Xenopus tropicalis: one gene and its partner. The protein of the gene in region 1 purifies or fractionates together with the protein of each later gene. This does not show direct contact. Links are inferred from orthologs where the notes say so. Each region holds a gene or a part of one and is shown in the gene's direction. Other genes may lie near its edges.

Region 1 (10,655 bases):
GAACAGAGTGGGGCCGACACGCTGGGGAAATGGCTCCGTTGTACTGTGTGGGGAACAGAGTGGGGCTGACACACTGGGGAAATGGCCCCGTTGTACTGTGTGGGGAACAGAGTGGGGCCGATACGCTGGGGAAATGGCCCCGTTGTACTTTGTGGGGAACAGAGTGGGGCTGACACGCTGGGGAAATGGCCCCGTTGTACTGTGTGGGGAACAGAGTGGGGCCGATACGCTGGGGAAATGGCCCCGTTGTACTGTGTGGGGAACAGAGTGGGGCCGATACGCTGGGGAAATGGCCCCGTTGTACTGTGTGGGGAACAGAGTGGGGCCGACACGCTGGGGAAATGGCCCCGTTGTACTGTGTGGGGAACAGAGTGGGGCCGACACGCTGGGGAAATGGCCCCGTTGTACTGTGTGGGGAACAGAGTGGGGCCGACACGCTGGGGAAATGGCCCCGTTGTACTGTGTGGGGAACAGAGTGGGGCCGACACGCTGGGGAAATGGCCCCGTTGTACTGTGTGGGGAACAGAGTGGGGCCGACACGCTGGGGAAATGGCCCCGTTGTACTGTGTGGGGAACAGAGTGGGGCCGACACGCTGGGGAAATGGCCCCGTTGTACTGTGTGGGGAACAGAGTGGGGCCGACACGCTGGGGAAATGGCCCCGTTGTACTGTGTGGGGAACAGAGCGGGGCCGATACGCTGGGGAAATGGCCCCGTTGTACTGTGTGGGGAACAGAGTGGGGCCGATACGCTGGGGAAATGGCCCCGTTGTACTGTGTGGGGAACAGAGTGGGGCCGATACGCTGGGGAAATGGCCCCGTTGTACTGTGTGGGGAACAGAGTGGGGCCGACACGCTGGGGAAATGGCCCCGTTGTACTGTGTGGGGAACAGAGTGGGGCCGACACGCTGGGGAAATGGCCCCGTTGTACTGTGTGGGGAACAGAGTGGGGCCGACACGCTGGGGAAATGGCCCCGTTGTACTGTGTGGGGAACAGAGTGGGGCTGACACGCTGGGGAAATGGCCCCGTTGTACTGTGTGGGGAACAGAGTGGGGCCGACACGCTGGGGAAATGGCCCCGTTGTACTGTGTGGGGAACAGAGTGGGGCCGACACGCTGGGGAAATGGCCCCGTTGTACTGTGTGGGGAACAGAGTGGGGCCGATACGCTGGGGAAATGGCCCCGTTGTACTGTGTGGGGAACAGAGTGGGGCCGACACGCTGGGGAAATGGCCCCGTTGTACTGTGTGGGGAACAGAGTGGGGCCGATACGCTGGGGAAATGGCCCCGTTGTACTGTGTGGGGAACAGAGTGGGGCCGACACGCTGGGGAAATGGCCCCGTTGTACTGTGTGGGGAACAGAGTGGGGCCGACACGCTGGGGAAATGGCCCCGTTGTACTGTGTGGGGAACAGAGTGGGGCCGACACGCTGGGGAAATGGCCCCGTTGTACTGTGTGGGGAACAGAGTGGGGCCGACACGCTGGGGAAATGGCCCCGTTGTACTGTGTGGGGAACAGAGTGGGGCCGACACGCTGGGGAAATGGCCCCGTTGTACTGTGTGGGGAACAGAGTGGGGCCGACACGCTGGGGAAATGGCCCCGTTGTACTGTGTGGGGAACAGAGTGGGGCCGATACGCTGGGGAAATGGCCCCGTTGTACTGTGTGGGGAACAGAGTGGGGCCGACACGCTGGGGAAATGGCCCCGTTGTACTGTGTGGGGAACAGAGTGGGGCTGACACGCTGGGGAAATGGCCCCGTTGTACTGTGTGGGGAACAGAGTGGGGCCGACACGCTGGGGAAATGGCCCCGTTGTACTGTGTGGGGAACAGAGTGGGGCCGACACGCTGGGGAAATGGCCCCGTTGTACTGTGTGGGGAACAGAGTGGGGCCGACACGCTGGGGAAATGGCCCCGTTGTACTGTGTGGGGAACAGAGTGGGGCCGACACGCTGGGGAAATGGCCCCGTTGTACTGTGTGGGGAACAGAGCGGGGCCGATACGCTGGGGAAATGGCCCCGTTGTACTGTGTGGGGAACAGAGTGGGGCCGATACGCTGGGGAAATGGCCCCGTTGTACTGTGTGGGGAACAGAGTGGGGCCGATACGCTGGGGAAATGGCCCCGTTGTACTGTGTGGGGAACAGAGTGGGGCCGACACGCTGGGGAAATGGCCCCGTTGTACTGTGTGGGGAACAGAGTGGGGCCGACACGCTGGGGAAATGGCCCCGTTGTACTGTGTGGGGAACAGAGTGGGGCTGACACGCTGGGGAAATGGCCCCGTTGTACTGTGTGGGGAACAGAGTGGGGCCGACACGCTGGGGAAATGGCCCCGTTGTACTGTGTGGGGAACAGAGTGGGGCTGACACGCTGGGGAAATGGCCCCGTTGTACTGTGTGGGGAACAGAGTGGGGCCGACACGCTGGGGAAATGGCCCCGTTGTACTGTGTGGGGAACAGAGTGGGGCCGACACGCTGGGGAAATGGCCCCGTTGTACTGTGTGGGGAACAGAGTGGGGCTGACACGCTGGGGAAATGGCCCCGTTGTACTGTGTGGGGAACAGAGTGGGGCCGACACGCTGGGGAAATGGCCCCGTTGTACTGTGTGGGGAACAGAGTGGGGCCGACACGCTGGGGAAATGGCCCCGTTGTACTGTGTGGGGAACAGAGTGGGGCCGACACGCTGGGGAAATGGCCCCGTTGTACTGTGTGGGGAACAGAGTGGGGCCGACACGCTGGGGAAATGGCCCCGTTGTACTGTGTGGGGAACAGAGTGGGGCCGATACGCTGGGGAAATGGCCCCGTTGTACTGTGCGGGGAACAGAGTGGGGCCGACACGCTGGGGAAATGGCCCCGTTGTACTGTGTGGGGAACAGAGTGGGGCCGACACGCTGGGGAAATGGCCCCGTTGTACTGTGTGGGGAACAGAGTGGGGCCGACACGCTGGGGAAATGGCCCCGTTGTACTGTGTGGGGAACAGAGTGGGGCCGACACGCTGGGGAAATGGCCCCGTTGTACTGTGCGGGGAACAGAGTGGGGCCGACACGCTGGGGAAATGGCCCCGTTGTACTGTGTGGGGAACAGAGTGGGGCCGACACGCTGGGGAAATGGCCCCGTTGTACTGTGCGGGGAACAGAGTGGGGCCGACACGCTGGGGAAATGGCCCCGTTGTACTGTGTGGGGAACAGAGTGGGGCTGGCACGCTGGGGAAATGGCCCCGTTGTACTTTGTGGGGAACAGAGTGGGGCCGACACGCTGGGGAAATGGCCCCGTTGTACTGTGTGGGGAACAGAGTGGGGCCGATACGCTGGGGAAATGGCCCCGTTGTACTGTGCGGGGAACAGAGTGGGGCCGACACGCTGGGGAAATGGCCCCGTTGTACTGTGTGGGGAACAGAGTGGGGCCGACACGCTGGGGAAATGGCCCCGTTGTACTGTGTGGGGAACAGAGTGGGGCCGACACGCTGGGGAAATGGCCCCGTTGTACTGTGTGGGGAACAGAGTGGGGCCGACACGCTGGGGAAATGGCCCCGTTGTACTGTGTGGGGAACAGAGTGGGGCCGACACGCTGGGGAAATGGCCCCGTTGTACTGTGTGGGGAACAGAGTGGGGCCGACACGCTGGGGAAATGGCCCCGTTGTACTGTGTGGGGATTAGACTCCCTGTACACAAGTGGTGTGTATATAGATAGATAGATAGATATATATATTAAGGAGATTTATATATAAAATGTAGTAGTGAATCCATGTATTACAATGAGGGATTCTAGGGTCCCACACCTCATTACACCCAGTTGCTACTATATGTACATCACTGGGCCGCAGAGAGAAGGAAAGGTTTCCATTAATTAGACTGATAGCTGAAGCGATGGGAATCCGAGCTAAAGGGGCGCCATAATGGAATCTTTCCTCTCAAGCTCCCCCATGTGACCTGCCTGCTACACGCTCAGCCCCGCCCCGGACACGTGACACGCATATCCCCCTGAACGCACCGCAAGGTTCTCCATCTTATTCTTGGTGGGCGGGGCTGGCTCTAGAGGGGCTGGCACTGTTGTCACTAGTAACGGTGACGTCCGAAGGCGGTGACGTCGGTGGGACTGCGGAGGTATAAATACTGGAGCCGGGCGCGTTGCGACCTCAGTGTCAGGCGGAGGGAGGCGAGCTCTACCGAGAAACGAAGAACAGACCGCCACCATGGGATACGGGGTGAGCTGGGACTTGGGCAACATGGCCTCTGGCTCTTCTGTGTGAATAGTGTGGGAGAGACAGCAGTGTGGGAGAGACAGCAGTGTGGGAGAGACAGCAGTGTGGGAGAGACAGCAGTGTGGGAGAGACAGCAGTGTGGGAGAGACAGCAGTGTGGGAGAGACAGCAGTGAGTATGGGGGGGTGACAGAGACAGCAGCGAGTGTGTTAGACAGTGAATATGGGAAGAGACAGTATTGCGTTAGGGGAGACAGCAGTGTAAATGGGGGGGTAGGGAAGAGACAGGGTATATATGGGGGGGGGGTAGGGAAGAGACAGGGTATATGGGGGGGGGTAGGGAAGAGACAGGGTATATGGGGGGGGAAGGGAAGAGACAGGGTATATATGGGGGGGTAGGGAAGAGACAGGGTATATGGGGGGGGTAGGGAGAGACAGGGTATATGGGGGGGGGTAGGGAAGAGACAGGGTATATGGGGGGGGTAGGGAAGAGACAGGGTATATGGGGGGGGGTAGGGAAGAGACAGGGTATATGGGGGGTAGGGAAGAGACGGGGTATATGGGGGGGGGGTAGGGAAGAGACAGGGTATATGGGGGGGGTAGGGAAGAGACAGGGTATATGGGGGGGGGTAGGGAAGAGACAGGGTATATGGGGGGGGGTAGGGAAGAGACAGGGTATATGGGGGGGTAGGGAAGAGACGGGGTATATGGGGGGGGGGTAGGGAAGAGACAGGGTATATGGGGGGGTAGGGAAGAGACAGGGTATATGGGGGGGGTAGGGAAGAGACAGGGTATATATGGGGGGGGTAGGGAAGAGACAGGGTATATATGGGGGGGGGTAGGGAAGAGACAGGGTATATATGGGGGGGTAGGGAAGAGACGGTATATGGGGGGGTAGGGAAGAGACGGTATATGGGGGGGTAGGGAAGAGACGGTATATGGGGGGGGTAGGGAAGAGACAGGGTATATGGGGGGGGTAGGGAAGAGACAGGGTATATATGGGGGGTAGGGAAGAGACAGGGTATATGGGGGGGTAGGGAAGAGACAGGGTATATGGGGGGGTTAGGGAAGATACAGGGTATATGGGGGGCCTCTGGAAGAGACAGTAGTGTGTGAGGGGGCAGTATGGGACAGGTAGCAGTATAGATATGGGGTGTATGGAAGAAACAGTGCTTATGGGGGGGGGGGGGGGGGTGACAGTAGCCTACATGGGAGAGACAGCAGTGTAAAGACAGACAGCATCAAAATGGGAGAGACTGTGGGGGCACAGGAGCAATGTATGAGATGTGCGGGTAGGTTACATGGGTACAGGGCTCGGTGCGGGTAGGTTACATGGGTACAGGGCACGGTGCGGGTAGGTTACATGGGTACAGGGCACGGTGCGGGTAGGTTACATGGGTACAGGGCACGGTGCGGGTAGGTTACATGGGTACAGGGCACGGTGCGGGTAGGTTACATGGGTACAGGGCACGGTGCGGGTAGGTTACATGGGTACAGGGCACGGTGTGGGTAGGTTACATGGGTACAGGGCACGGTGTGGGTAGGTTACATGGGTACAGGGCACGGTGTGGGTAGGTTACATGGGTACAGGGCACGGTGTGGGTAGGTTACATGGGTACAGGGCACGGTGCGGGTAGGTTACATGGGTACAGGGCACGGTGCGGGTAGGTTACATGGGTACAGGGCACGGTGCGGGTAGGTTACATGGGTACAGGGCACGGTGCGGGTAGGTTACATGGGTACAGGGCACGGTGCGGGTAGGTTACATGGGTACAGGGCACGGTGTGGGTAGGTTACATGGCTACAGGGCACGGTGCGGGTAGGTTACATGGGTACAGGGCACGGTGTGGGTAGGTTACATGGGTACAGGGCACGGTGCGGGTAGGTTACATGGGTACAGGGCACGGTGCGGGTAGGTTACATGGGTACAGGGCACGGTGCGGCATTACTGCAGGGTGGGGGTATATCTGGCATTACTGCAGGGTGGGGGTATATCTGGCATTACTGCAGGTTGGGGCATTACTGCAGGGTGGGGGTATAACTGGCATTACTGCAGGTTGGGGCATTACTGCAGGGTGGGGGTATAACTGGCATTACTGCAGGGTGGGGCGTTACTGATACACTGGGCTCCGGCTGTATATGTAGGAATTGCCCCTTGTGGTGCCAGTGTGGGGTGCCTGCGTATGTGTATGGGGGGCACATTGTGCTGTTGTTAATGGGAGGTGGGTGTTATGGGGCAGTGAGAGTGCCCTTTCCCTGGGGGGGTGTAGATGGGGGTAACTTGGCATAATGTAGATTTGTTCCCTGCCCCGTTCCTGCCCCATTCCTGCCCCATTTTTGCCCCATTCTCATAGCTGGACACTGGGCCCTGGGATTCCTGCAATGCTCATTGGAGCCGGGAGTGACTCCTACTGGGTGTCTGGTCCCAAGAGCTTGCACACAGTTGCTGTGTTACCTAGGAGAAGGCCAGTAGTTTGTGGCCATGTTGTGGGCAGACACCCTCCTCTCCAGAGGCCAATTATATTACACTCCATTCTGTTTTCCTGGGGGAGGGGTAAGAATTGATGCCCCGGGGCAGTTGCTTGTTGGGAATCTCAGTGCAGAAATACCAGTTCTCCCATTGCTGCACATTCCCAAACATGATGGGACCTTATTGCCCGTGCAGCCTCCCATGGAACCCCAATTCCTTTATAGGAGTCTCCCTTTATCTGAGACAGGAAGTGAGATGTGCAAAGGAAACTGCATCCCCCCTGTGTGCATATAGCGGCTATGATGCATATGATCCAAACTTACTTGGGGAGATCTACCCAGCAGTGTGAGGGGGATGTGCTCTTGGTGCATGAAAGGGTTAATCCCTCCGTGCCCAGCTCCCTATGGGGGTGCCCTGCCCAGACAGTTAGGGTTCAGCCGGCGGCACTTGGTGGAGTTGTCAGTAGGACTGCGGGGAGTCAGGGGCTGCATTATGGGCAGGGCATACAGCTGGCGCACCCCGGCACTTGGCAGGCACTGCTGGCTTTGCCCCAAGCTGTGAGGATGCGGCATGGCAGCCAGCTTCCTTGTGTTCAATGTGGCAGTGCCAGGGTCTGCTTCACCCAGCAGCGCCGGCCTCCCTCCCTTCATTACTGCAGCACTGACTGCTGCCCTGGCACACTTGCTGTGCCCTCTGCCCTGGCACTGCCAGCCGCCACTTGCTGGTCTTGTAGAAGGAAGATGGTGGCAGATAGATTTAAGGGCAGTTGTATATGATATGGGTCAGGGCAGAGTGGAAAGGGTGGGGGGGGGGGCAGAAGGAATTAGCCCCCTTGCTGGTAGTGTGTGCCTATTAGTCAGACCCCCTGGTTGGCACACATTGCCAGTGTTGGCACCGCTTCAGCACTTGTATCCAGCCTGCCAGGGGTTAATGCCTGAGAATGTGACCCCCCCCCCCAGACACTGTATATCTGTCACTCTGCTGGTGAGAGGGTTATTTATAGACTGGGGGGGGGGGGGTGCTGGGAATCTTCTGTGTATTCCCTGCAGGAGCATCTTGGCGCAGTCCCTTGCCATCTACTCTGGCGCTGGCAGCTTGGTGCCCGGGAAGCTAATTGGCCGCTGTGTTTAGAGGGCAGTAGGGGGGAGGATTTGTACCCCCCTAGCCGGGTTCTGTTTCCTTGGACTGGGGCAGAAGGGAGGTGGGGGGGGCAGATCCAGTTACTGAGCCTGAGAGGTACCATTGTTCCTGGGACTGGCGTAAGCCCAGGCTGGCACGTCAAGGTTACTACTGTCCCAGCATTCCTGGGGGGGGGAGGGAGGGGGCGTAACCTCTTCATTGCCGTCACATTTGTACTCCTGCATGTTCTCTATGCAGTTGGTCGGTATGAATGCTGGGTGTCGGCTGATAAGTGGCATTAGATAATCCCTTGCCTGCTGTGGGGATATTCATGCCCATAAAGGGACTCCGGACCGTGGGAGGGCAATTACTCACTGGACTTTCACCCCCCCCCGGGGTATTTGATGTAATAATCGGGGGTTAAACCCTGCCATAGAGAACATTGTGCAATGTAGGTGTGATCCTTCCGCCTGAACACCCAGTATAAAGTCCCTGGCATCTGCCTGCCCCGGGGCCATGTTCTGCCATGGCACATCCCTGTGTGCCTATTGGCTGGCTGGGACTCCCTGTGCCCTGGCACTCCTCCCTTGGCTTGTAGCTGCCCCTACTGGGTGCCAGTCCTGCTGCCACCTCCTTGGGAAAGAGGCTTGATGGAACTTGCCACCCTGGCAGCACCTTGCCCCATGATGCCCTAGACGTGATGTCACTGATCCGTCTGTCCTTGGGCAAGGTCGTTGGCACTGGGGCCTGTGCCTTCATTGGGAGGGTTACTGGGAATACTGGTGCTGCATCCTGTGCCCCTGGTAACTGGCGCCTTATTAAACTCCCAGGGGCTTCTGGGAAAATGGGCACTACGTGCATGGCCTTGTTCTTCCCGGTGTTCCAATCTGGAGGGTTGCTGGGAGTTGTGCAGCCTCAGCAGTTTTTCTAGGTTACACACAAGATCTAATTGGATACAGCCCCCCCCCCCCCCCCCCTTAGCTTGGAGATGTAATGAGAGCAGCGCTGAGCCCATCAATAACTAACTGGGGGGGGTCACTGCGGCTACTGTACCGTCCCAGGGGGCCAGCTCGGCTCTGTAAGTGCTGCCGTGAATGTAGGCCGGGGCTGGCCCATTAATCTTAGGGAAGCCCCATACCTGGGGGGTGGGCATTCTCCTCCCTAGAGCTGGGGCATCAGTAGGGGTCAGATTATGATCCCCAGTGCAGGGGTTTATAGAGCCGGCAGTTAATGATTAGGCTACTGGGTATCTTTATGGCTTGCTGTTGCTAGGGCTGTTGTGTTGGGCTACGGCTGTCAGTGGCCCTATATCCCATGGGAGGGGGGAGGGTTTGTCTCTTTATTCAGCTGTAGGTCCCCCCACCCCCGGGTGCCTCGGCATGACAGTGTGGGAAGGGTGGGTGGCCCTTAGGGGGCTGTTCTAGAGCACCAGTATTCACTGGGATCATGTTCCAGCTCCTTCCCATAATGCTGTGCCGCTTGTTTGAGCACCTGTTGTGTGGGAAGGGGCCCGTATTGCACCCCCCCCCGACTATCTGTGCAGATGGTACTTACTGTGTATTCTGCACACTCCCCAATATAAGTATAAGTAGTATTGCATGCTGGGATACGGAAGCTTTGCTCCTGGGGGCCCCCCTGTTCTCTCATTGCATGCTGGGATACGGAAGCTTTGCTTCTGGGGGCCCCCCTGTTCTCTCATTGCATGCTGGGATACGGAAGCTTTGCTTCTGGGGGCCCCCCTGTTCTCTCATTGCATGCTGGGATACGGAAGCTTTGCTTCTGGCGGTCCCCCTGTTCTCTCATTGCATGCTGGGATACGGAAGCTTTGCTTCTGGGGGCCCCCCTGTTCTCTCATTGCATGCTGGGATACGGAAGCTTTGCTTCTGGTGGTCCCCCTGTTCTCTCATTGCATGCTCGGATACGGAAGCTTTGCTCCTGGGGGCCCCCCTGTTCTCTCATTGCATGCTGGGATACGGAAGCTTTGCTTCTGGCGGTCCCCCTGTTCTCTCATTGCATGCTGGGATACGGAAGCTTTGCTTCTGGGGGCCCCCCTGTTCTCTCATTGCATGCTGGGATACGGAAGCTTTGCTCCTGGGGGCCCCCCTGTTCTCTCATTGCATGCTGGGATACGGAAGCTTTGCTTCTGGGGTCCCCCCTGTTCTCTCATTGCATGCTGGGATACGGAGGCTTTGCCTCTGGAGTCCCCCCTATATCTGACAGGGGGGGTGCAGCATATTAGGGGTGGGGGGGGGTGCCGCTCTGCCTTACGGAAAGTGCCTCCCAGACCCACTGACTGCCGCATTGTGCAACTGCCTGTGGGAGGGGCTGGGCCCTCGCTGACTCATTAACCCCTTCCTGTCCTGCCGCTGCTGTCTCACTGTGACATTTATAGACACCTCAGCTCCCCCCCCCCCCCCCATGGCTCAGGTTTCAGTGTGGGAAACCCTAGTCTCTTTATCCTAGGGAAGGAGAGAGGCCAGGCGAGAAGGGGTTAATGTGCCATGCAGTTTATAGCAGGGAGTATTTATAATGTTCTGGGGCCCTGTATATCAGATAATACCCCCCCATCCCGGCTGCCCCTTCCTCCCATAATCCCCTGTGTTACCCTGCACTTTTCCCAGCTCAGGTTTCTGTGGATCTGCTTTGTTTTTATCTATGGCTCATTGTTCCCACAGCACCTGACACCACACGCACCCTCCTTGTGCCGGAGGAGGAGGGCAGCGGAATTAACCCTCGCTGTACCCCCTGGCCGGGTGCAACTTTCCCTGCCTGTCTCTCTTTATTCACTAGGCCCTAGAACCTGGGATTCTGGGTACAGAAGGGTTGCCATGGAAACCACCCGACTTCTTGTGCATGCCCCCCAGTTAGTAATGCCCT
Region 2 (10,555 bases), on another chromosome or scaffold:
CACGGCTTGTAAACTCTGTAAGTCTCATTTGTTTTGCTTTTTCTACAAACCAGTAATGTGTAATGTAAGGCAAAGCTGATTTATAGCGAAGGAGTGACGCTCACCTATTAGTTTCACCTTCTCTGTAATCTCTTAAAGGGGATATAAATTATATAATATGATATAAATCAGCGATCCCCAACCAGTGGCTCGGGGGGAACATGTTGCTCCCCAATCCCTTGGATGTTGCTCTCAGTGCCCCCAAACCAGGGAGTTATTTTTGAATTCCTGACTTGGGGGCAAGTTTTGGTTGAATAAAAACAAGATTTCCTACCAAATAAAGCCCCTGTAAGCTGATAGGGTGTATAGAGGCCCCTAATAGCCAATCACAGCCCTTATTTGGCTCCTCCATGAACTTTTATGGTGCTTGTGTTGCTCCCCAAGTCTTTTTACATTTGACTGTGGCCCAGGAGTAAGAAAGGTTGGGGGCCCCTGATATAAATTGATTTTAACATATTAAGGGTGTTCCTTTTATCACTTTTTTCAACTTAGTGATTTTCAATGATTACAGAGTAGCAAAATGGCAGAAAATGTTTTTGTCAAGCAACTGTACAAAGTATTTTCTGATATTTTGTGACCATTTACACTTCAATCTAAGTGCACTATGCTATTATCCTTTATTTTATAATCACCTGTATGTCACCCCTTTTATTTTGTGCTTCTTTTCCAGCTTCCAGATCCATTAGCTGCTCTTCCCATCTCCAGGCCCCAGGTAATATAGACAGAAGCCACACATGGGCATTGCTGGTAGGAGAATTTGGTTTCTTGGATATGAATTCAGTGTCTATTAGGAAGCATCATTCCACATAAGGTGGACATACCTCGCCAAGGGTGTGGATCTTCTCCCGATATCCCCACCTACGGGTGGGCGATATCGGGCTAATTCGGCCATTTGTCCCTGGGGCCAAACGATCGAATTAGAATGACTGGTATAGGTCGGTTGGTTCAGGGACCACATCAACGAGCCTATGCAGCCCCCGATCCGACTGATTTTTAAACCTGCCCGATCGATATCTGGCCAATTAAAGGCCAGATGTTGATCGGGCAGGCCCGTCTTTAGTGCCCATACACGGGCTGATAAGGTCCTAGGGGCCCGATATCGGCAGCTAAAATTGGCCCGTGTATGGCAGCTTTAAGAGTCTGTGCTCTGAGTTTCTATTCATCTGAGCTGTGCCGAGTCCGGCAGTATTGTCAGTATAAATACAAACATAGTGATAAAAAAAACTACGACAGCCAACACGGAATACAATTCTTACAGTGATGCTGTGCGCCCAGAATGCAGTGCAGCCGTATAGAGGCCATTTATGTGAAGCTTTGCAGCTCCCTTTGCTCAGCATTACATTTAAAAAGTATTGAAATATACAATTTAATTTTGCATTCCATTGTATAATCCCTTTCTGTATTTTAGCTGTGCAGGCCAAAACTAAGAAGACCTTGGCCAAGCCTGGAGTTAAAAATGTGGTGATTGTGGATGGAGTGCGGACTCCTTTTTTGCTCTCAGGGACCACGTAAGTGTTTGTTTTCTTGGAGTTAGTGTTTATATCATTCAGGCATCAGAGCGGCTTAGCACTCTAACAACTACATTTAACATAATTGTTGCTCACACTGCACAAAAGTAATTTTGCCATGTTGCCAAACAACCACGGACCAAATCACAGACCACATTAGGATGATCTTAAAGCAACACTGTCATGGGAAAACATGGTTGTTTTTTTTTTTTTTTTTCACAACCCATCAGTTAATGGAGCTGCATTGTAATCTGTTTTTCCCATGGCATTAGAATAGCACTCAGTAGTAAGAAATCCAAGTCCGGCTTGGGACTCCTCCAGTTACATGGGAGTAGGAGAAACAATAGGTTAGCTGAAAGCAGTTCTAATGTGTAGCGCTGGCTGAAAGCTCAGACTCAGGCACACTTTACTGCTGCGCTGCAAGTTGGAGTGATATCCCCCCCCCTCACCCCCAGCAGCCGATCAGCAGAACAATGGGAAGGGAGCAAGATAGCAGCTCCCAGTAGGTATCAGAATAGCACTCAATAGTAAGAAATCCAAGTCCGGCTTGGGACTCCTCCAGTTACATGGGAGTAGGAGAAACAATAGGTTAGCTGAAAGCAGTTCTAATGTGTAGCGCTGGCTGAAAGCTCAGACTCAGGCACACTTTACTGCTGCACTGCAAGTTGGAGTGATCTCCCCCCCCCCCCCCCCCCTCACCCCCAGCAGCCGATCAGTAGAACAATGGGAAGGGAGCAAGATAGCAGCTCCCAGTAGGTATCAGAATAGCACTCAATAGTAAGAAATCCAAGTCCGGCTTGGGACTCCTCCAGTTACATGGGAGTAGGAGAAACAATAGGTTAGCTGAAAGCAGTTCTAATGTGTAGCGCTGGCTGAAAGCTCAGACTCAGGCACAAGGCACTGAGATGGCGCCTACACACCAATATTACAGCTACAAATACATTAGTTGGTTCAAGAATAAAAGGTTAAATGGCAGAGGGAATTATTTGCTGTGTAACAGTGTCATTTAGAAATAAAAAGTGCCCCATAAATATCATGGCAGTGTCCCTTTAATGTTCAGCCCTGGGGTCTACAGTGAAATATGGGGCCTTGCAGAGCTGCCATGTGTATAACACAAAGCCTACATATACATATCTAGTAGCATTTTCTTCATGTGAATCAGTCACCTAGAGCTGGCTAATTATAGATATATTTTCCTCTTGCAGATATGCAGATCTGATGCCTCATGACTTGGCCAGGACAGCACTGCAGTAAGTTTTGTACTCGATAAATACTTATAAATACTTTGTGGTGTCAATTTTTTACATGACAACCCACACACCAAACTGTTGTGCTCTCAGGAAACATAATCCAAACAGAACAATGTTTTACATGTATATTATGAAATGGTTTGTGATTAGCAAAGGCCAAAGTTCAGCATGATCATTTACTTTGTAATGGAAACTTTTCCACACGGTGGAAGGGCATTAGGTTGGATTGGGAGAATTGCTGCCCTCCAGTGGTGGATGTGAGAATCGTGTCTGAGAGTCATTAGAGCGTCAGTTGTTCGCTTGGAAGACAGAGTTCTGGAGAGAAATAGGGTGGAACTAGTCCTTTAGAGCACAAGTGCAATGAGCATGGTGCAGGGAATACTGTCTTTCTTAATTTCTCTTTGCCAATTAGGGGATTGCTGCAGAGAACCAACGTTCCCCGGGAGGTGGTTGATTACATAGTGTATGGAACTGTAATCCAGGAAGTTAAAACCAGTAATGTTGCACGAGAGGTAGGTATTGCTCTGTCCTTCTGTTAATGGGAACATCTGCTCTACTTTGTCTTTTTTTTTTGTCTATAACCCTCATTCAAAAATTAAAAAATATGTATTTTGTTTCCTAGGCTGCTCTGGGGGCTGGTTTTTCAGATAAAACTCCAGCGCACACAGTCACGATGGCCTGCATCTCTTCCAATCAGGCAATGACTACAGGTAAGGCTTCAACTCTGAACTGTAAAACATTTCTCACATTTATAAATGTCCAGTATTTCACAGCACTGTGCAGTAGGGTGTTGATCTCAATCATACAAATACTATTTGGCACAGGAGCTAAAGAGGACCCTGCTCACTGGAGCTTTTTATGCTTTTCCCAGTGAGGATCATCTCATTCACTCATTTATATTTCTTTTCCACAGGTGTTGGGCTGATTGCATCGGGTCAGTGTGATGTGGTTGTTGCTGGTGGGGTGGAGTTCATGTCTGATGTCCCTATTCGTCACAGCAGGAAGATGAGGAAGACCATGCTGAGCCTTAATAAGGCCAAAACATTGGGCCAGAGGCTTTCTGTGATATCTGGAATCCGGCCTAACTATTTTGCACCAGAGGTAGCAATATACAGGGCAGTCAGGGTTTGTTTGGGAAAGGTACCTTCTCCTCCTCCTCCTCCTCCTCCTATAGTTGCTATGAAAAACCACAAAGATGTGATCAAGTGTATAGAGCAAATACTTCCAATGTCTTTGTTCTATATTGTTTGACATTTTTAATCAAAACATTAAGCACAGTGAATTTTCAGCACATTCTCTACTTATGTTGAACATGGTTGTATATTATCTTTGTCTTTTTAATGGAGAGAGATTGAGATATAGAAAATACATTTTAACGTTAGGTGAAAAAAACTTTCCCCAGCCGATCTTTGTAAGAGAATGCACACAGGGCCTTTCAACGAGGGATGCACCAAATCCAGGATTTGGTTTGGTATTCGGCCTTTCTTGGCAGGGTTTGGATTTGACCCGATCGACGGTCAAAATAGGTTTTGGTTCAGTATTTGTCTGAATCCCTTAGAATGGATTCGGGGGTTTGGCCGAACCCAAAAACTAATGACTTATTGCACTAAATAAGCTGGTGAATGCCTAGGGAGAATGATTAATGACTGTTTTTTTTAACCCCCATAGCTCCCAGCAGTGGCTGAGTTCTCCACCAGTGAGACCATGGGACATTCAGCAGACAGACTCGCCGCAGCATTTTCTGTGTCTCGGGTGGAGCAAGATGAATACGCTCTGCGCTCTCACACACTGGCCAAGAAGGCGCAGGACGCTGGGCTGTTGTCTGACGTTATCCCCTATAAAGTACCAGGTAGCACCTCATTCTCTCGCTTCCTTTCCTCTGGCTGCTAGGGAGGGAAACACAAGGGCCCCCTGGAAATTCATTCTAAACTTTCTAGAATGAATTCTCTGCATAGTTTGGGTCACAGTTGTTTTTATCAACAGGCAAACAAACGGTTGATAAGGATAATGGAATCCGTCCATCCTCTATGGAGCAGATGGCGAAGCTGAAGCCTGCCTTTATTAAGCCTCATGGTTCCGTCACTGCTGCCAACTCTTCATTTCTGGTAAGTTTTCTCCCTTGGCGATACGATATGTTTCTTGTAGTATATAATGATCTCTACAATTTCTACAACATAAGTGTGAAAAAATAATAAGAGACTAACAAAATGGTTCAAATGGAGTCCAGAAGATGTGTGGTATTTTATTTGTACCGATATGCAAGTTCCACTCCAACATATAGGCACAGAGTCAGGTTTCATATAATCCCCAGACTCAAATTGTCTTAAAGAGATACTAACACCAGAAATTCAACCATTTTTTACGATGTGGGGCCTTTATGCTTTTTATAACTTTGCCACAAAAGTATTTGCCCAATGATTTTACATTCCCTATCTGATCCCCCATGTTCCTCTATGAGGGGACGGCCATATTTGTTCAGCAGGAATCCGTTAGCATTAGAAGCTGTAACTGACAGGCTGAGAAGGGACAGTCAGGTTGGCCAAACAGTCAGGTTTTACGGTCTTTAAGTAACAATTACTTACAAAATCAACTGACCCATAGGGGACTGTTTATGCAGTTGAAAAGATGATTTTTAGTGTCAGTATCACTTTAAGGTGGCCATACAGTAAGATTTGCTCATTTGGCTCACCTTTGAATGAAGGAAATAGGGAACGTCGGAGCGAGGGGATGCAGTCCCTGATCCAATGAAAAATCAAGCCTGTCCAATCAACATCTGGCCAATTTTTGGGCTGATATTGATCAGGGGGAGACCTGTCGGAGGGCACATACACAGGGAGATAAGCTGCCAAGTCGGTCTTAATTGGCAGCTTTTCCCCCTCATCTCGTTAATAGATTTTCTTAGTTAATAAAACTCTAGTATACGTAATATGCACCTTTAGAAATGAAATAGGAGCATAGTTTAGTCTGTACAGTGTTCTGTTAGAGTACAGACAAGGGAATCTGCAGGAATCCGTACCTGTGTGAAAATAATCAGACTCTTGCACCACAGATTAACTGGCAGGTACTGAGTAATACAGGGCAAGAGGTTATGGCTCACAGAGCTAAAAGTGAAATGGTAGCAAAACCTTAGGATACACTTGTTGCTCCAATTGAGGATCTTGGGACCTGGTATTACTGTCACTTCCTGCAGAGAGCGCTAATGTGCTACTGGGACTTCCCAGTCAGTTAATGGCTTTATTGTGCTTCAGACGGACGGTGCCTCTGCCGTGCTGATCATGTCGGAGGAGAAAGCCCTGGCCATGGGATACAAGCCTAAGGCCTACCTTCGGTAAGAGCATTTTGCTTTCACTGCTGGCTTCTCTTGTTTATTTTAGAAAAGGAATTAAGTGTGTGGGGTTTGTTTTTTGTCTTTTACAGGGACTTTGTTTATGTGTCTCAAGATCCCAAGGATCAGCTTCTGCTCGGGTATGTACTGCTAATATCCAGAGACCTTCATTCTGTTTGTTTGTGCAGCTCCATTAATGGAAATAGAGCTTCTTGGTATTATACCCCCAAACAGTGTAGGTCGCTATAAAAATATATTTATAAACGGCTCATATGTAAAACCCTGCTTCATCTAAATAACCCATTTTCATATAAATATACTTGTTTAGCAGTATGTGCCATTGGGTAATCCTAAATAGGAAACTGTCATTTTATGTACTAAGGGCCGCCCCCTGGGATCATAGGATTCACAGTGCACACAAACAAGCCAAGGCACACATACATGCTAGGCCTCATCAGCCAATGAATGAACACTGTGCTTAAACCCTATCACACTGACTGCCTTTCCCGTTCCAGCCCCACATACGCTACCCCCAAAGTACTGGAAAGGGCAGGACTGACTCTCGCTGACATTGATGCCTTTGAGTTCCATGAAGCATTTGCGGTAAGCAAGTCCATTGGTTCAAACTTGTAGCCAAAATTGGCAGATATTTAATTTGGCAACATACAGCGGTGGTCCAAATCAAGGAGATCCTTACATTTAACCCTTAGACCAGTAGTTGGATCATACTTGAACTGATCCACTGTGTGGTGCCCCCTGAGGAATGGAGTCATCTACACGCACCTCGGTCACCTTCATAATATTATTCAGGGTGGCACAAAACAGAGGGGTGGTGGTTACTGGTGGCAAACTTAGGGGGCTGTTCCTGCTGAATTGTGCTTAGTACAGGGGAATCCCTATGTGCCATAGTTTTATGGTATCTCTCTGTACAGGCTATGGGCAAACTTAGGGATTCCCCTGTACTAAGCACAATTCAGCAGGAACAGCCCCCTAAGTTTGCTCATAGCCTGTACAGAGAGATACCATAAAACTATGGCACATAGGGATTCCCCTGTACTAAGCACAATTCAGCAGGAACAGCCCCCTATGTGCCATAGTTTTATGGTATCTCTCTGTACAGGCTATGGGCAAACTTAGGGGACTATTCCTGCTGAATTGTGCTTAGTACAGGGGAATCCCTATGTGCCATAGTTTTATGGTATCTCTCTGTACAGGCTATGAGCAAACTTAGGGGGCTGTTCCTGCTGAATTGTGCTTAGTACAGGGGAATCCCTATGTGCCATAGTTTTATGGTATCTCTCTGTACAGGCTATGGGCAAACTTAGGGGGCTGTTCCTGCTGAATTGTGCTTAGTACAGGGGAATCCCTATGTGCCATAGTTTTTATGGTATCTCTCTGTACAGGCTATGAGCTATTTCTGCTGAATTTTGCTTAGTACTATATGTAACCAATCCCTTTGTCCCACAGGGCCAGATCCTGTCTAATCTGAAAGCCATGGATTCTGACTGGTTTGCACAGAATTACATGGGGCGAAAGGCAAAGGTAAGTAGTTCCATATTTGTTCCCTGTCAGTTCTGAGCTCAGTGAGATCCATCACAGAAAGTTATTTTATTTTATAATCAAAATACCCTCTTACCCTCCCCTTACTGATACCCTCTTACCCTCCCCTTACTGATGCCCTCTTACCCTCCCCTTACTGATGCCCTCTTACCCTCCCCTTACTGAGACCCACTTACCCTCCCCTTACTGAGACCCACTTACCCTCCCCTTACTGAGACCCACTTACCCTCCCCTTACTGAGACCCACTTACCCTCGCCTTACTGAGACCCACTTACCCTCCCCTTACTGAGACCCACTTACCCTCCCCTTACTGATGCCCTCTTACCCTCCCCTTACTGAGACCCACTTACCCTCCCCTTACTGAGACCCACTTACCCTCCCCTTACTGATGCCCTCTTACCCTCCCCTTACTGAGACCCACTTACCCTCCCCTTACTGAGACCCACTTACCCTCCCCTTACTGAGACCCACTTACCCTCGCCTTACTGAGACCCACTTACCCTCGCCTTACTGAGACCCACTTACCCTCCCCTTACTGAGACCCACTTACCCTCCCCTTACTGAGACCCACTTACCCTCCCCTTACTGATGCCCACTTACCCTCCCCTTACTGATGCCCTCTTACCCTCCCCTTACTGATGCCCTCTTACCCTCCCCTTACTGATACCCTCTTGGGGCATCTCTTACAGGTTGGAGCCCCTGCTCTGGACAAGTTTAACATGTGGGGGGGCTCGCTGTCGCTGGGACACCCGTTTGGAGCCACAGGTTGCCGGCTGGTCATGGCTGCTGCCCACAGGCTGAAGAAGGACGGAGGGCAATACGGCCTTGTGGCAGCGTGTGCGGCAGGGGGGCAGGTACAGTACAGCTAAAGCCATTTCCTATAGGAATCTGTGCTCTTATAAATAAGTAGATCCGGCCTTGCTGAATGGCCTTATGTAACAGAACTAGGGATGCACCGGATCCAGAAGGATTCAGATTCGCCCAGATCCATGTTCCAGGCCAAACTGAATCAAAATTCTTAAAATCACATGTCTTTTCATTACATAAAGTTAAAAAAAAGCTCTTTAAAGGGGCGGTTCACCTTTACGCTGTTAGTATGTCATAAAATTGGCTAACTCTTAGCAACTTTCCAATTGGTTCTTATTTATTTGTTATAGTTTTTTAATTATTTGCCGCCTACTTCAAACAGTTGTGGTGCCCGAGGCCGCCACCATTCGCGTCCTTCCCTGGATGTGCATTTATGCTGCCCTAGGCCCGGGCCTTTATGGCCTCCCCACAAATCTGGGCCAATCTGTGAGGCTCCAGTTTTATTGTTATTGTTACTTTTTGTAACTTTTTCTATTCAGCCCCTCCCCTATTCATATATCAGTCTCTCATCCAAACCACTCCCTGGTTGCTAAGGTACCTTGGACCCTAGCAACCAGATAGCTGAAAATAAAATAACTAAAAAACTACAAATTAAAAACAAAGACCAATTGCGAATTGTCTCAGAATATCCCTCTCTACATCATAATGAAAGTTAACCCAAAGGTGAACACCTTTGTTAGATACAACAAAGAATTTGGTTCCGTATTCGGCTGAATCTTTCAGGACGGATTCGGGGTTCAGCCGGATGCCAGTGCACCCCTAAACAAAATTGGACATTTTTATATTAATCTTCATTTTGTTGTGATCAATGTGTAACCAAACCCTCTCTGTGCTGCAGGGACACGGGATGATCGTGGAACTTTACCCCCAGTAACGTGACACAAACCCATCGGACTCGTTATGGCTGACGCCAGTTTCCTGCACTAATTAACTGAGAAGGTCCCCTCCCCGTCGCCAAGAATGTCGCAGCACTGTAAATATTTTCTAGTTGCCTTGTCTGTGATTGGAATGAGTAATTGGTTTTCCAGAGCACTTGGTACGTCCCAGTTTGGAACGACCCATTGTGCAAGCTTAGTGCTGAGCTCTCCAGCTCCTGGGCTGCTCGTCTGTTTCGATTTGGCAGAGCTGAATCCTGTTAGACTTTGTGTTTAATAGACTGTAAAGCACTTACACCCAATGTACAGTCAGTGGTAGAATCAGCTGCAGCCACTTTACCAACGGGGGCGTTGCTACCGGCCCTTCTGCCTTAATAAACAAGATCTTCACTACTTGTCTCTGTCTCATTATGAAATGGTAATCAAAGGGCAAAATGATTTTCCACCTCTTTCCCATTTCTAAATGACACTGTTACACAGCAAATAATTCCCTCTGCCATTTAACCTTTTATTCTTGAACCAACAAATGTATTTGTAGCTGTAATATTGGTGTGTAGGCGCCATCTCAGTGCCTTGTGCCTGAGTCTGAGCTTTCAGCCAGCGCTACACATTAGAACTGCTTTCAGCTAACCTATTGTTTCTCCTACTCCCATGTAACTGGAGGAGTCCCAAGCCGGACTTGGATTTCTTACTATTGAGTGCTATTCTGATACCTACTGGGAGCTGCTATCTTGCTCCCTTCCCATTGTTCTGCTGATCGGCTGCTGGGGGGGGGGGGGGATATCACTCCAACTTGCAGCGCAGCAGTAAAGTGAGACTGAAGCTTATCAGAGCACAGGTCACATGGCTGTGGCACCCTGGGAAATGAAGAATATGGCTAGCCCCATGGGAAAAACAGATTACAATGCAGGATTCTGCTGGAGAAGCTCTATTAACTGATGGGTTTGTAACAAACTGGTTTTCCCGTGACAGTGTTACTTTAACATAATTAGCCTAGATGCAGGATCATCCACCAAAACTACATTTAGGGGGCCATTTACTAATATTTTTCCCCCCAATTCTGATTTTTAAAGCTAAAAGTCGCAGAAAAAAAAAAAAAAAAAAAAAAAAGGTGACTTTTCCAAGATTTA

The links.
Region 2: the proteins of atp1a1 (region 1) and hadhb fractionate together in Homo sapiens (co-fractionation; 3 studies listed by BioGRID, with this or other methods). This does not show direct contact. The link is inferred for Xenopus tropicalis from reciprocal best matches to the Homo sapiens genes ATP1A1 and HADHB.

Annotation. Positions count from the first base shown.
Region 1 is NC_030678.2:1,067,998-1,078,652, reverse strand, and holds the start of atp1a1 (sodium/potassium-transporting ATPase subunit alpha-1), read left to right. Parts: upstream 1-4,144; 5' UTR 4,145-4,182; coding exon 4,183-4,194; intron 4,195-5,213; exon of another isoform or gene 5,214-6,245; intron 6,246-6,291; exon of another isoform or gene 6,292-10,655. UniProt on the Homo sapiens protein: This is the catalytic component of the active enzyme, which catalyzes the hydrolysis of ATP coupled with the exchange of sodium and potassium ions across the plasma membrane.
Region 2 is NC_030681.2:154,404,026-154,414,580, forward strand, and holds the end of hadhb (trifunctional enzyme subunit beta, mitochondrial), read left to right. Parts: coding exon 1-17; intron 18-709; coding exon 710-751; intron 752-1,447; coding exon 1,448-1,547; intron 1,548-2,752; coding exon 2,753-2,797; intron 2,798-3,209; coding exon 3,210-3,309; intron 3,310-3,419; coding exon 3,420-3,507; intron 3,508-3,710; coding exon 3,711-3,898; intron 3,899-4,465; coding exon 4,466-4,646; intron 4,647-4,780; coding exon 4,781-4,902; intron 4,903-6,045; coding exon 6,046-6,125; intron 6,126-6,214; coding exon 6,215-6,262; intron 6,263-6,637; coding exon 6,638-6,725; intron 6,726-7,589; coding exon 7,590-7,664; intron 7,665-8,372; coding exon 8,373-8,537; intron 8,538-9,388; coding exon 9,389-9,424; 3' UTR 9,425-9,818; downstream 9,819-10,555. UniProt on the Homo sapiens protein: Mitochondrial trifunctional enzyme catalyzes the last three of the four reactions of the mitochondrial beta-oxidation pathway.